Linked DNA regions of Arabidopsis thaliana. The protein of the gene in region 1 purifies or fractionates together with the protein of each later gene. This does not show direct contact. Each region holds a gene or a part of one and is shown in the gene's direction. Other genes may lie near its edges.

Evidence for each region.
Region 2: the proteins of AT5G17380 (region 1) and AT2G35040 fractionate together in Arabidopsis thaliana (co-fractionation; one large-scale study listed by BioGRID). This does not show direct contact.

What each region holds. Positions count from the first base shown.
Region 1 is NC_003076.8:5,724,176-5,729,022, reverse strand, and holds AT5G17380 (Thiamine pyrophosphate dependent pyruvate decarboxylase family protein), read left to right. Parts: upstream 1-2,110; 5' UTR 2,111-2,302; coding exon 2,303-3,706; intron 3,707-3,788; coding exon 3,789-4,103; 3' UTR 4,104-4,264; downstream 4,265-4,847. Other genes in the region: ER-ANT1 (endoplasmic reticulum-adenine nucleotide transporter 1), read left to right, coding at 1-8; AT5G17390 (Adenine nucleotide alpha hydrolases-like superfamily protein), read right to left, coding at 335-631, 737-822, 909-1,383; AT5G17370 (Transducin/WD40 repeat-like superfamily protein), read left to right, coding at 4,304-4,370, 4,470-4,594, 4,735-4,847. UniProt on the Arabidopsis thaliana protein: Catalyzes a carbon-carbon cleavage reaction; cleaves a 2-hydroxy-3-methylacyl-CoA into formyl-CoA and a 2-methyl-branched fatty aldehyde.
Region 2 is NC_003071.7:14,764,480-14,770,338, reverse strand, and holds AT2G35040 (AICARFT/IMPCHase bienzyme family protein), read left to right. Parts: upstream 1-2,020; 5' UTR 2,021-2,069; coding exon 2,070-2,177; intron 2,178-2,251; exon of another isoform or gene 2,252-2,270; coding exon 2,271-2,370; intron 2,371-2,467; coding exon 2,468-2,543; intron 2,544-2,646; coding exon 2,647-2,743; intron 2,744-2,899; coding exon 2,900-3,002; intron 3,003-3,109; coding exon 3,110-3,243; intron 3,244-3,339; coding exon 3,340-3,517; intron 3,518-3,602; coding exon 3,603-3,760; intron 3,761-3,890; coding exon 3,891-4,100; intron 4,101-4,170; coding exon 4,171-4,518; intron 4,519-4,607; coding exon 4,608-4,734; intron 4,735-4,840; coding exon 4,841-4,992; 3' UTR 4,993-5,194; downstream 5,195-5,859. Other genes in the region: AT2G35050 (kinase superfamily with octicosapeptide/Phox/Bem1p domain-containing protein), read right to left, coding at 1-631; URED (urease accessory protein D), read left to right, coding at 5,294-5,392, 5,478-5,543, 5,629-5,703, 5,802-5,846.

The sequences.
Region 1 (4,847 bases):
TTCAGTAGTTTTGGACCAAACCCGAAACGATGACAATGAAAGCTGAGCTCAAAAAGAGAAGGTTAGTAAACACCAAGAAGTCTCACTTGCTTTCCAATGTATTGTGTTAATTAACAGAATCTCGGAATCATTAACCGATTGAACCAGCAGAAGATAGGGAAAATTGTTCATAGTTCTTGTGCAGTAACATTGTTATATCAATAATCCAAGAAAGGCCTATTTGATTTTTGTGTACTGGAGCAAGTTTGTTTCATGTATAAAAGATGAAATAGGTGAAAAAATTTTAAAGCCTTATGAATGATACAAACACAAAAGAGGAAAACTTGCGTTGTTGTCAAGCGAGAAGCCAGAAGTTTTTGTGGCGTTTGGTGGTGATTAAGTAACCGCCGAGCTTGCGGTTCTTGGGTTTAACCGCGATTGTCATGCAAGAGGCGTTTTCGAGGCAGTATTTGAGAACACCTTCGTGTCCACGGCGTCTCTTCCACGCCCATCTCTTCAATAGCCTCCAGACCGGAGGTTTCTTCTCTTGTCCAACCACTAAAAGGCTCACTTGTTGTTTCTTTGATTCTTCAACTATCTTCTGCCCTTTGTCTTTGTCTTTCCCCTCTAACCTCCTTATCTCCACTTCTATCTGACATTCATAAAAGAAATCCACACGTCGCCAGAATTTGATCAGAACAGTAATAGTGTAGCTTTCATTATATGTATAAACAATCGAATACCAAGTGTGACTCACCCCGGGTCGTTTCGTTTGGCACAGTTTCTTTAAAGTATGGACCAATTCATCGGTTTTCACCTCGCGTTTTCGGTTCTTCCTTTTACCTAAAACTCAATCCGAAAAACCTCATTAGCCAAACCAAACAAACCTTAAACAAGAAAATTGACAAAGAGGAGAGAAAGAGAAGAACTTTTTCTAAACGGTTTTGCAAAGTATAACAGAAAAAGAGTGTCTTGTGGTTGTAAAGTATGCGTAATAGCCCATTCTAAAGCTCCGGTAGAAGCAAGCGCTTTATCAACCACCACCATTACTCTATTCCCGCCTTCCGCCTCCTCCTCAACCGCCTCAACCGCTGCCACCGCCTCTTTTTTTCCTTCTCCGCCTCCAATGTTAAAGCTCTTGGCATCATCTTGTTCTTTTTCTTCTTCCTCCTCTACAATTACTTTGACTCTTTCTTCTTCCTTATCTTCAACCTCTTCACTTTCATTGTTTGCTTCTTTGGTGTCTTCTTCTCCGGATCCGGCATCATCACCATTTTCGCCTAGAAACTCGATTCTTTGGTCTCTCTCTATGGAACTCGAGTCCGGTTTGAACCTAATCGAAGGTGAATTGATCCGGACTCTTCTTAGACTCAACTTGGCTGATTTCTTGAGCGATCTCGCCATGTTTTTGTTTACAAAAAGAACTCAAATGGGAACCTTAGCATTGGTTCTTGAATGTTTTGAGCGTATGTATACGTGAGGAAATTTTTTGAGAGAGGACGTGCGTGCCATTAAAGATGTTTGATTGTTAATGGTTCCACACGTTGTTGTTTTTTTCTTTTTGTCAAGCTCTTCTGTTTTCTTCATTAAATTAAACGAGTCCAAGTTTATTTGATAAATTGTTAGCTCAATCGATTGTGGAATTCACTACCGTTGGAGAAAAAAAAATTTATTTTGTAGACTCGCAAAATCATGAGAAATCTTTGAGTGGTGCTCTAGTTTTGTCGTGGTCAAAATCATCCACTTTGTGTAAAAGAACAAATCCAAATTTGATTTGTTTTCTTTGCTAACTACAAAACAATTCTAGTGGCAGCCCTCAAGGGTTATACAAGGTCACTTGTTCCAAACCATGAACTCATAAATTTATCATTTTATCACATCCAAATCCAAATTATTGAGAAGATTAGGTAAGTAGGAGTCGCTAGTGACCAAAACCAAAGATATATTTTATTGAATCACTAAATCACAATACCTTTGTAAATTAAGTTATCTGTCATACTACTTTGTTATTGAATAATGTAAGTTGCCAAAAATAAAGAAATTCATGTATAGTTTGGTCGTATAATCAATTTGTTGAGAATTTTACTATTTGCTACGTAGATAACTTTTAAATTAGCAAAACACACATAATTACGTGTACAAGTTTGTAGATAAAATTTTCAGAGAACACACAAAATGCAAATAAAGAAGTCAATAATAGGCTAATAGTAGCATTAATGCAAAACACGTAATCACAGTAAGAGTAAAACACAAATACAAAAGGCTATATAAAGAAACTAAAGCAAGTAGAAGAAACTGAAACTTTGAGCAAATCCAAGAGAACATGGCGGATAAATCAGAAACCACTCCACCGTCAATTGATGGCAACGTTCTCGTGGCCAAGTCACTCTCTCATCTCGGCGTAACCCACATGTTCGGCGTCGTTGGAATCCCCGTCACGTCTCTAGCTAGCCGAGCTATGGCTTTAGGTATACGTTTCATCGCCTTCCACAACGAACAATCCGCTGGTTACGCCGCTTCAGCTTACGGTTACCTCACGGGTAAACCGGGTATCCTTTTAACGGTTTCGGGTCCGGGTTGTGTTCATGGGCTCGCGGGTCTTTCCAACGCTTGGGTTAATACATGGCCGATGGTGATGATCTCTGGTTCTTGTGATCAGAGAGATGTTGGTCGTGGAGATTTCCAGGAGCTTGATCAGATCGAAGCGGTTAAAGCTTTCTCGAAATTATCAGAGAAAGCGAAAGATGTTCGTGAAATCCCTGATTGTGTTTCTAGGGTTTTGGATCGAGCTGTTTCGGGTCGACCCGGTGGGTGTTATCTGGATATTCCGACTGATGTGTTGCGTCAGAAGATATCGGAATCGGAAGCTGATAAATTGGTGGATGAGGTTGAGAGATCACGGAAGGAAGAACCGATTCGTGGATCTCTGAGATCGGAGATTGAATCGGCGGTTTCGTTGCTGAGGAAAGCTGAGAGGCCGTTGATTGTGTTTGGTAAAGGAGCTGCGTATTCGAGAGCAGAAGATGAGCTGAAGAAGCTTGTTGAAATTACTGGAATACCCTTTTTACCAACTCCGATGGGTAAAGGTTTGTTACCGGACACACACGAGTTCTCGGCGACTGCGGCGAGGTCTCTTGCTATTGGGAAATGTGATGTCGCGTTGGTGGTTGGAGCTAGGCTTAACTGGCTTCTTCATTTCGGAGAGTCGCCTAAATGGGATAAAGATGTAAAATTTATATTGGTGGATGTCTCTGAGGAAGAGATTGAGCTAAGGAAACCTCATTTGGGGATTGTTGGAGATGCTAAAACTGTGATTGGATTGTTGAATAGAGAGATCAAAGACGATCCTTTTTGTTTAGGGAAGTCTAATTCATGGGTGGAATCGATTTCGAAGAAGGCGAAAGAGAATGGTGAGAAGATGGAGATACAGCTTGCTAAAGATGTGGTTCCTTTCAATTTCTTGACTCCTATGAGGATAATCAGAGACGCTATTTTGGCTGTGGAAGGACCGAGTCCTGTTGTGGTATCGGAAGGAGCTAATACAATGGATGTAGGAAGATCTGTTTTGGTTCAGAAAGAGCCAAGGACAAGGCTTGATGCAGGAACTTGGGGAACTATGGGTGTTGGTTTAGGTTATTGTATTGCTGCTGCTGTTGCTTCTCCTGATCGGCTTGTTGTCGCTGTTGAAGGAGACTCTGGTTTTGGCTTCAGCGCCATGGAAGTCGAGGTAGTAAAAAGATTTACATACTTATTAGCATAATGTGGAAATTGTCTTTTGTCTGAACTTTTGTCTTTAATGATGATTGCAGACATTGGTTCGATACAATCTTGCTGTGGTGATTATAGTCTTCAACAATGGTGGTGTCTACGGCGGTGATCGAAGGGGACCTGAAGAAATCTCCGGTCCTCATAAAGAAGATCCAGCACCAACATCATTTGTTCCTAATGCAGGCTACCACAAGCTCATTGAAGCCTTTGGAGGCAAAGGTTATATTGTGGAAACACCCGATGAGCTTAAATCCGCTCTCGCTGAGTCGTTCGCCGCAAGAAAACCCGCGGTGGTAAATGTTATTATTGATCCTTTTGCTGGTGCTGAGAGTGGGAGATTACAGCACAAGAACTAAAAAGCTTTGTGGAGAGTCCCTTTAAATAATGTTGAAGTTGTTTGTTGTGAACAAAAAGGATATACGTTTTAGTTTTCTGTTTTTCACTATTGTAAACCGGATCATAAACCGGTCCATTTTAAACCATAATTGAATAAAAACACGTTTCCGGTTCAATTCTTAAAACCTAAAGCTATTTATATGGCGCATGTTAGCCTTTAATGGTGTCTGATGAGAAAGAACACAGAGAACAGAGTCGACTCCAAGTCCGACACAACATGAAACCAGGTCTGAATCTTCTTCCTCGACGGATTCTTCTATTTTCGATTGCGTATCCGAGATTTTGATGTGGGAATTTGGTTTATCTTTGATTTTTTTTTTTTTCAGAACTTCCTGGGTTTTATTACGACGAGGAGAAGAACAGATATTTTCCCATTAAAGGTCCTATCCCTGGTGCAAAGTCTTCTTCTTCTTCAAGAACGAAACAAAAACCCGAGCCAAAGCCTGAACAGGTCAGTTTACTACAAATTCAACTTTTTCAAGTTTATGTAGTAAAGGTCGAGTCTTGCAGAATCAATGAGAATTCTCCAATCTTCTCTAGCTTGAACTTGTTTATGTAAATCAGTGATTAGTTATATGGAAATTGCATCAGGAAACTAATTATCAGAAGAGGACTAAACTAAAAGCATTGAAGCTAGTTTATTCCCGAGAGTTAAATGGCAATGTTATTTCTGTCAACAAGAAGATGTCTAACTTCAGGGACGA
Region 2 (5,859 bases), on another chromosome or scaffold:
TCTTGCTAATCCGTATGATACGCGTTTCACCACCTACATACCTAAGTTTCTGATCTCTGGGGCGGGGTATAACTTTACCACCAAAACTACACAAGAACTTCGCACGGTTCAAAGAGCTATCAGAAGCTCTAGAAGAAACCAAACTATGACGCCTTTGACCAGTATCATTTTTCGAAGAGATAACTGGGGCTGACTGGACCAGTTCATGATAGGTCTTATCTTCAATTCTAGAAGGGGGTTTCCTCTCGTGCTCAAAGCTCTGACGTTTTTCTTCTATGTTAAGCACTGTAGCGTTAGGGCCACTCTCTGACATTGGATGAACCATTCCCAGAGCACTTAAGTTAACAGAAACAGGCATACCACTGTGCTCACCATACACATTTGGGATGAACTGCGGTTTCATAATAACCCTATCTCTCATAAACTCAAAAGCAAATTCTTCACCGGTCTGTATTGAGTAGTTTAGCACTGGCCGAGCAGGGGTTGAAACACCATAATCTGGAGGTCGTACATAAGTGTTAACATTAGTTGAAGAGTCGTGGGAAAACCTTTGATTAATGGAGCCAAGTCCCTCATCTCTAGGGTCAGGGGCAGTATACCGAACATGTTCATAACCTTTTGCTTGATCCATGTTTTCTTTCTCAAGGTGTCTATCTATCTAGTTCATAAGCTCCCTCACAAACGCTTGTAGGCGACATATCATGATCATGACCCAAGTAAAATCTTTGCATAAGCATCCTTCGCAAATTTCTAACGTTTTGGCTGCAGAACAGGACGACTTCTATCATGAACAACTCAAACTCTCATTGAGGTGCCTGAAATAGGAGAAGAGTAACTTTACTCAAGTAGTCAAACATATTCAAGAACAAAAAAACCAAAATAGCATACGGCTAAAACTCAGAAAACCATACTATTTAAGGAACATTTTCGGTATACAAACCAATAAAACTCTTTACTCTAGCAGGGACAGATCATCCAGTACAAATATCTGACTGTGCATACTTTCCAACATGAAACTAGCTAAAATGACTACTTTCTAGTCTCTTCAAGTTTAAACTAACAGGAATCGCTGAAACTAAAATCGATCAACTTCACCAAACTATTAGCAAACCCATCGTAACTTTGAGAGAGTGTAAATCAACAGATCAAAACATAGAACTAAATCCAAAATTCAATCAAGTCCGTGAAACAATTCCAAACCTCAAAAAGGAAACAAATAAGCGTCATTTCGAACCAAAAACTGAGCTAAAAACCTCTACCCAACCAAAAAACAAAAGCCGATCAAGCCATCAAAACCACTGAAACTCTAGAAAATGCAAGATCTGAGTATCATTACCCGAAATTCAGGTGGAAACACATCGGATCCAGAGATTTTCGATAATAATGATCAAAATTCAAAAACAGCATACACCTAAAAGGAAGACGAGTAAGCAAAGAAGGAGAGAAGTAGAGAAAAAGGTTTATACCAGGAAAGGCGGCACCAGAGACTGTGAAGCGTCCTCGGTTTGACGATCGATGAGTAGGAGAAGAAGCCAAGTCCTTCCTTAAAATCTCTCTTCTAATTTTGACAATTCGAAAAACAAAACTATATTCTCGAGAAAAAAACTATTATGCCTACCAATAAAATAATTGTTATCTACTTACATTATTTAAAATTCTGAAAAGCAAATAAAATATCATATAAAACATAAGAAGCTTTCGTCATCTCCATAGTTAGTCTTTTGTAATATTACCACTCTGATCCAATAAAGTTTTATTTCTTACTAATTAGTTTACACTTGAGAATTTTGGTTTCTACTAAATTTTTTAAAATTTGGAGTTAAAATAGTTTAGTTTTATTTTTGGGGGAAATAAAAAGAGAAGCTTTATTCCAATTTTCCAAATATTCCAGGTGTAATCTAACTGTCAAGGCCATAATAATAAATACATAATTCCACCTGACGCCAATAATAAATTACATATTTTCCTTTTTTTTTTATTTTTTTTTCTAATTTATTTCCAAAATTAGCCGCAAAATCACAAAACCTAACAGAGCTCAACACTACACACTGTTTCAAAATCAGACTACTATGCTCAGCTCAGCCGCCACCGCCACCTCCGTGAGTGCTCGCTCCGGCGATATTCTCTGCGGCTTGTTTCGCAAAAAATCCGTCGCGCCTTTTCGTTTTACTCAGCCTGTGAGTTCTCCTCTGTGTGTGGACGTGTTCCTTTGTGTCTTTGTTTCATGTTCTGCTAAACTTTTTAATATTAGTGGAATTTTCAATGAGCAGGTCTATCGTACGTCGCTGTGTCCAAGTTTCGTTGCTGTTCGAGCCATGGCAGAGTCTCAGACTGCTCAGAGGAATCAGCCGCAATCCTCAGGCTCCTCTGGTTTACAATTTTTCTTTTTGCTGCAATTTCAAATTCAGTGATCGATTTTCAGTTACGTTTTAGTGATTTTCAAATAATCGGGCTTTAATTGAATCAGGGGAGAAGCAAGCTTTGATATCTCTATCTGACAAGAGGGACTTGGCTTCTCTTGGCAACGGTCTGCAAGAATTGGGGTATGTGTTCTTCACAACTCTCTCTTACTTAGAACTATACAAATTTTGGTTTTGTTTCTATCTTATATGTAAATGATTCCTTTTTTCATTGATATTTGTGTAGATACACTATTGTTTCTACTGGAGGAACTGCCTCTACTTTGGAGAATGCTGGAGTCTCTGTGACCAAAGTGGAGAAGCTTACTCATTTTCCAGAAATGGCATGTTTTTCTTTTCTCTTATGCTCGCTGCTCTTGCTAAAAGTTTTGGTCTTGTGATCTCGCTGATATTTATATTTAAGTTTTGGTTTATACCATTGTTTTGTTGAGTTTAGTATATTAAACTTAGCTCTCCTTTTTTTTTTTCTTCTCTTAAAGCTTGATGGCCGTGTGAAAACTTTGCATCCAAACATACATGGTGGTATCCTCGCTAGAAGGGATGTGGAGCATCATATGGAAGCTCTTAATGAGCATGGGATTGGTGAGTTTTGACCTTTGATTGATCCTCTACATTAAGCTTGAGACTAAGTCATTTATAGTGTCTCCTTATGTTTAACTGTACCTTTTTTTTTTTTAATTCTATGACAGGTACATTTGATGTTGTGGTTGTCAATTTGTACCCGTTCTATGAAAAAGTTACTGCTCCAGGTGGGATCAGTTTTGAGGATGGGATTGAGAACATTGACATTGGTGGCCCTGCTATGATTAGAGCAGCTGCTAAGGTAATACATATATCTGTGCATATGAGACTTTTTCTTTACACTTGCAAGATTATTTTCAAGATTATAAATGTATATTTTCTATTGTTTTTTCAACAGAACCACAAAGACGTTCTCATTGTTGTCGATTCAGGAGATTATCAAGCTGTTTTGGAGTATCTCAAAGGAGGACAGAGCGACCAACAATTCCGCAGAAAACTTGCGTGGAAGGCCTTTCAGCATGTTGCTGCATATGATTCTGCGGTTTCAGAATGGCTATGGAAGCAGACTGAAGGAAGTATGTGATTGTTTTTATGTGATCCTCCTTACACTAGTTATGGCAATTGGCAACTTACATTGATTGATATTCATGTCTTTCTCAGAAGAGAAGTTCCCTCCCAGCTTTACAGTTCCGCTTGTACTTAAGAGTTCTCTTCGTTACGGTGAAAATCCTCATCAAAAAGCTGCATTTTATGTTGATAAGAGCCTTGCTGAAGTGAATGCCGGTGGTATCGCAACAGCGATTCAGCATCATGGAAAGGTAAGAAAGTATGCTACTTTTTCTGTCCGGTGTAATTTACAGAGCAAATAGTTTTAAACTGCCATTTATATCCTTATCCTCGCTTTCAAGCCTTATTATGTTTAACTTTTCTATTTATTTCTGTGAGCAGGAAATGTCATACAACAACTATCTTGATGCTGACGCTGCATGGAACTGTGTGTCGGAATTTGAAAACCCAACATGTGTAGTCGTGAAGCATACAAATCCTTGTGGTGTGGCCTCTCGTGATGATATTCTTGAGGCTTACCGGCTAGCTGTAAAAGCTGACCCAGTTAGTGCCTTTGGTGGCATTGTAGCTTTCAATGTTGAAGTTGACGAGGTAATCAAAAGTCAAACTACTGTTGTCCCATACATTATTCAATTGTTTAGTGATCTGTAACTGTCTCTAGGTTCTTGCGAGGGAGATCCGAGAGTTCAGGAGCCCAACAGACGGGGAAACTAGAATGTTTTATGAAATCGTGGTTGCTCCAAAGTATACTGCTAAAGGTCTTGAAGTCCTCAAAGGGAAATCAAAAACTTTGAGGATCCTCGAAGCTAAAAAGAATGACCAAGGGAAACTATCGCTCAGACAGGTTGGTGGCGGCTGGTTGGCTCAGGACTCGGACGATTTAACTCCAGAAGACATCAGCTTCAATTCTGTCTCAGACAAAACTCCGACTGAAAGCGAACTTGCGGATGCAAAATTTGCCTGGCTCTGCGTTAAGCATGTCAAGAGCAATGCCATTGTGATAGCAAAGGTTGGATTTTCCTCTCTGATTCCTTTTCTTGTTTCTCTTTCTGTACTTGTTTGCTAGTAGTTTATTCTGATTCTTGGGTTGGCTCATAGAACAATTGTATGCTGGGGATGGGAAGCGGACAGCCAAACCGAGTAGAGAGTCTGAGAATAGCTTTCAAGAAAGCTGGGGAGGAAGCTAAAGGAGCTGCCTTGGCCAGTGACGCATTCTTCCCATTCGGTATATATATTTTTCTCTCCGAAACCATTCTTCTGTCTGAAATGACTCATCAATCAACAAATGTTAGCCGTTCTGAATTGGAAATTTGTTGTTGTGTGAATTGCAGCTTGGAAAGATGCGGTGGAAGAGGCGTGCCAGATGGGAATAGGAGTGATAGCAGAACCTGGAGGCAGTATTAGAGACCAAGACGCTATTGATTGCTGCAAAAAGTATGGAGTCTCTCTGCTCTTCACCAACGTTAGACATTTCCGCCATTAAGGACACATCCCTCCAGTTTTGCTCTTATAAACACATCCAAGAGAGTTTCTGAAGAAGAAAACCCACCAAACAAAACACAAAGAGTGGGAAATAAAACTGTTGTAACATTAATTTGGATTGCGTTCGAGTTTATGTATGATTAGAACCTGAGAGCTGTTCCTACTTATAAATTTGACATTTTTCACCCAAAATCATATCTTTCTCTACATCCAGAAACTGATGAGATTTGCATATAAAATATTCAACATTTCTACTCAAACTGGAGTGAGAAAGTCGACGACAGTGTGGAGAGAGATCAGAGATGGCGACAGGGAAAGTGGTGGTGGAGAAAGTGGGAGGAAGATCTACAGCTACGAGCTGCTTCTCGAAGTATCCTCTCAAGTTCTTACTTCCTAGCAAGGTCTCCTCTCTCTCTCTACGTAGAGTTCACAGTTTCGAATTTTCAATCTTTAGTTATTAAAGTTCCGGCGACACTGAACTTTCAGGCAGCTCCTGCTGGAACTGACGTTGTCTGGATTTACAGTATCACTTATGGTGGCGGCATTGTCTCTGTATTTCCCTATTTCTCTGTCTCTTTATTAATGAATTTGCCATCGATGCGCTTGAATCAATCTAGTTCTTGTTCAAATTATGTAGGGCGATTCGATTTCATGTGAATTCACAATTGGTGATGGATGCACTGCAGTTATTACAACGCAGTCTTCTACTAAGGTTGAATCAATTTAGGGCTTTTCTCTCTCTTTGCAATGGACACTAATTTCATCCTACGTGGTTGACTTTCTGTTGATGGATCTTGTGATTTCACACAGGTGTACAAGGCAATAGGATCAAAGTGTTCTGAACAGATATTGGAAGTAATGTTTCTTT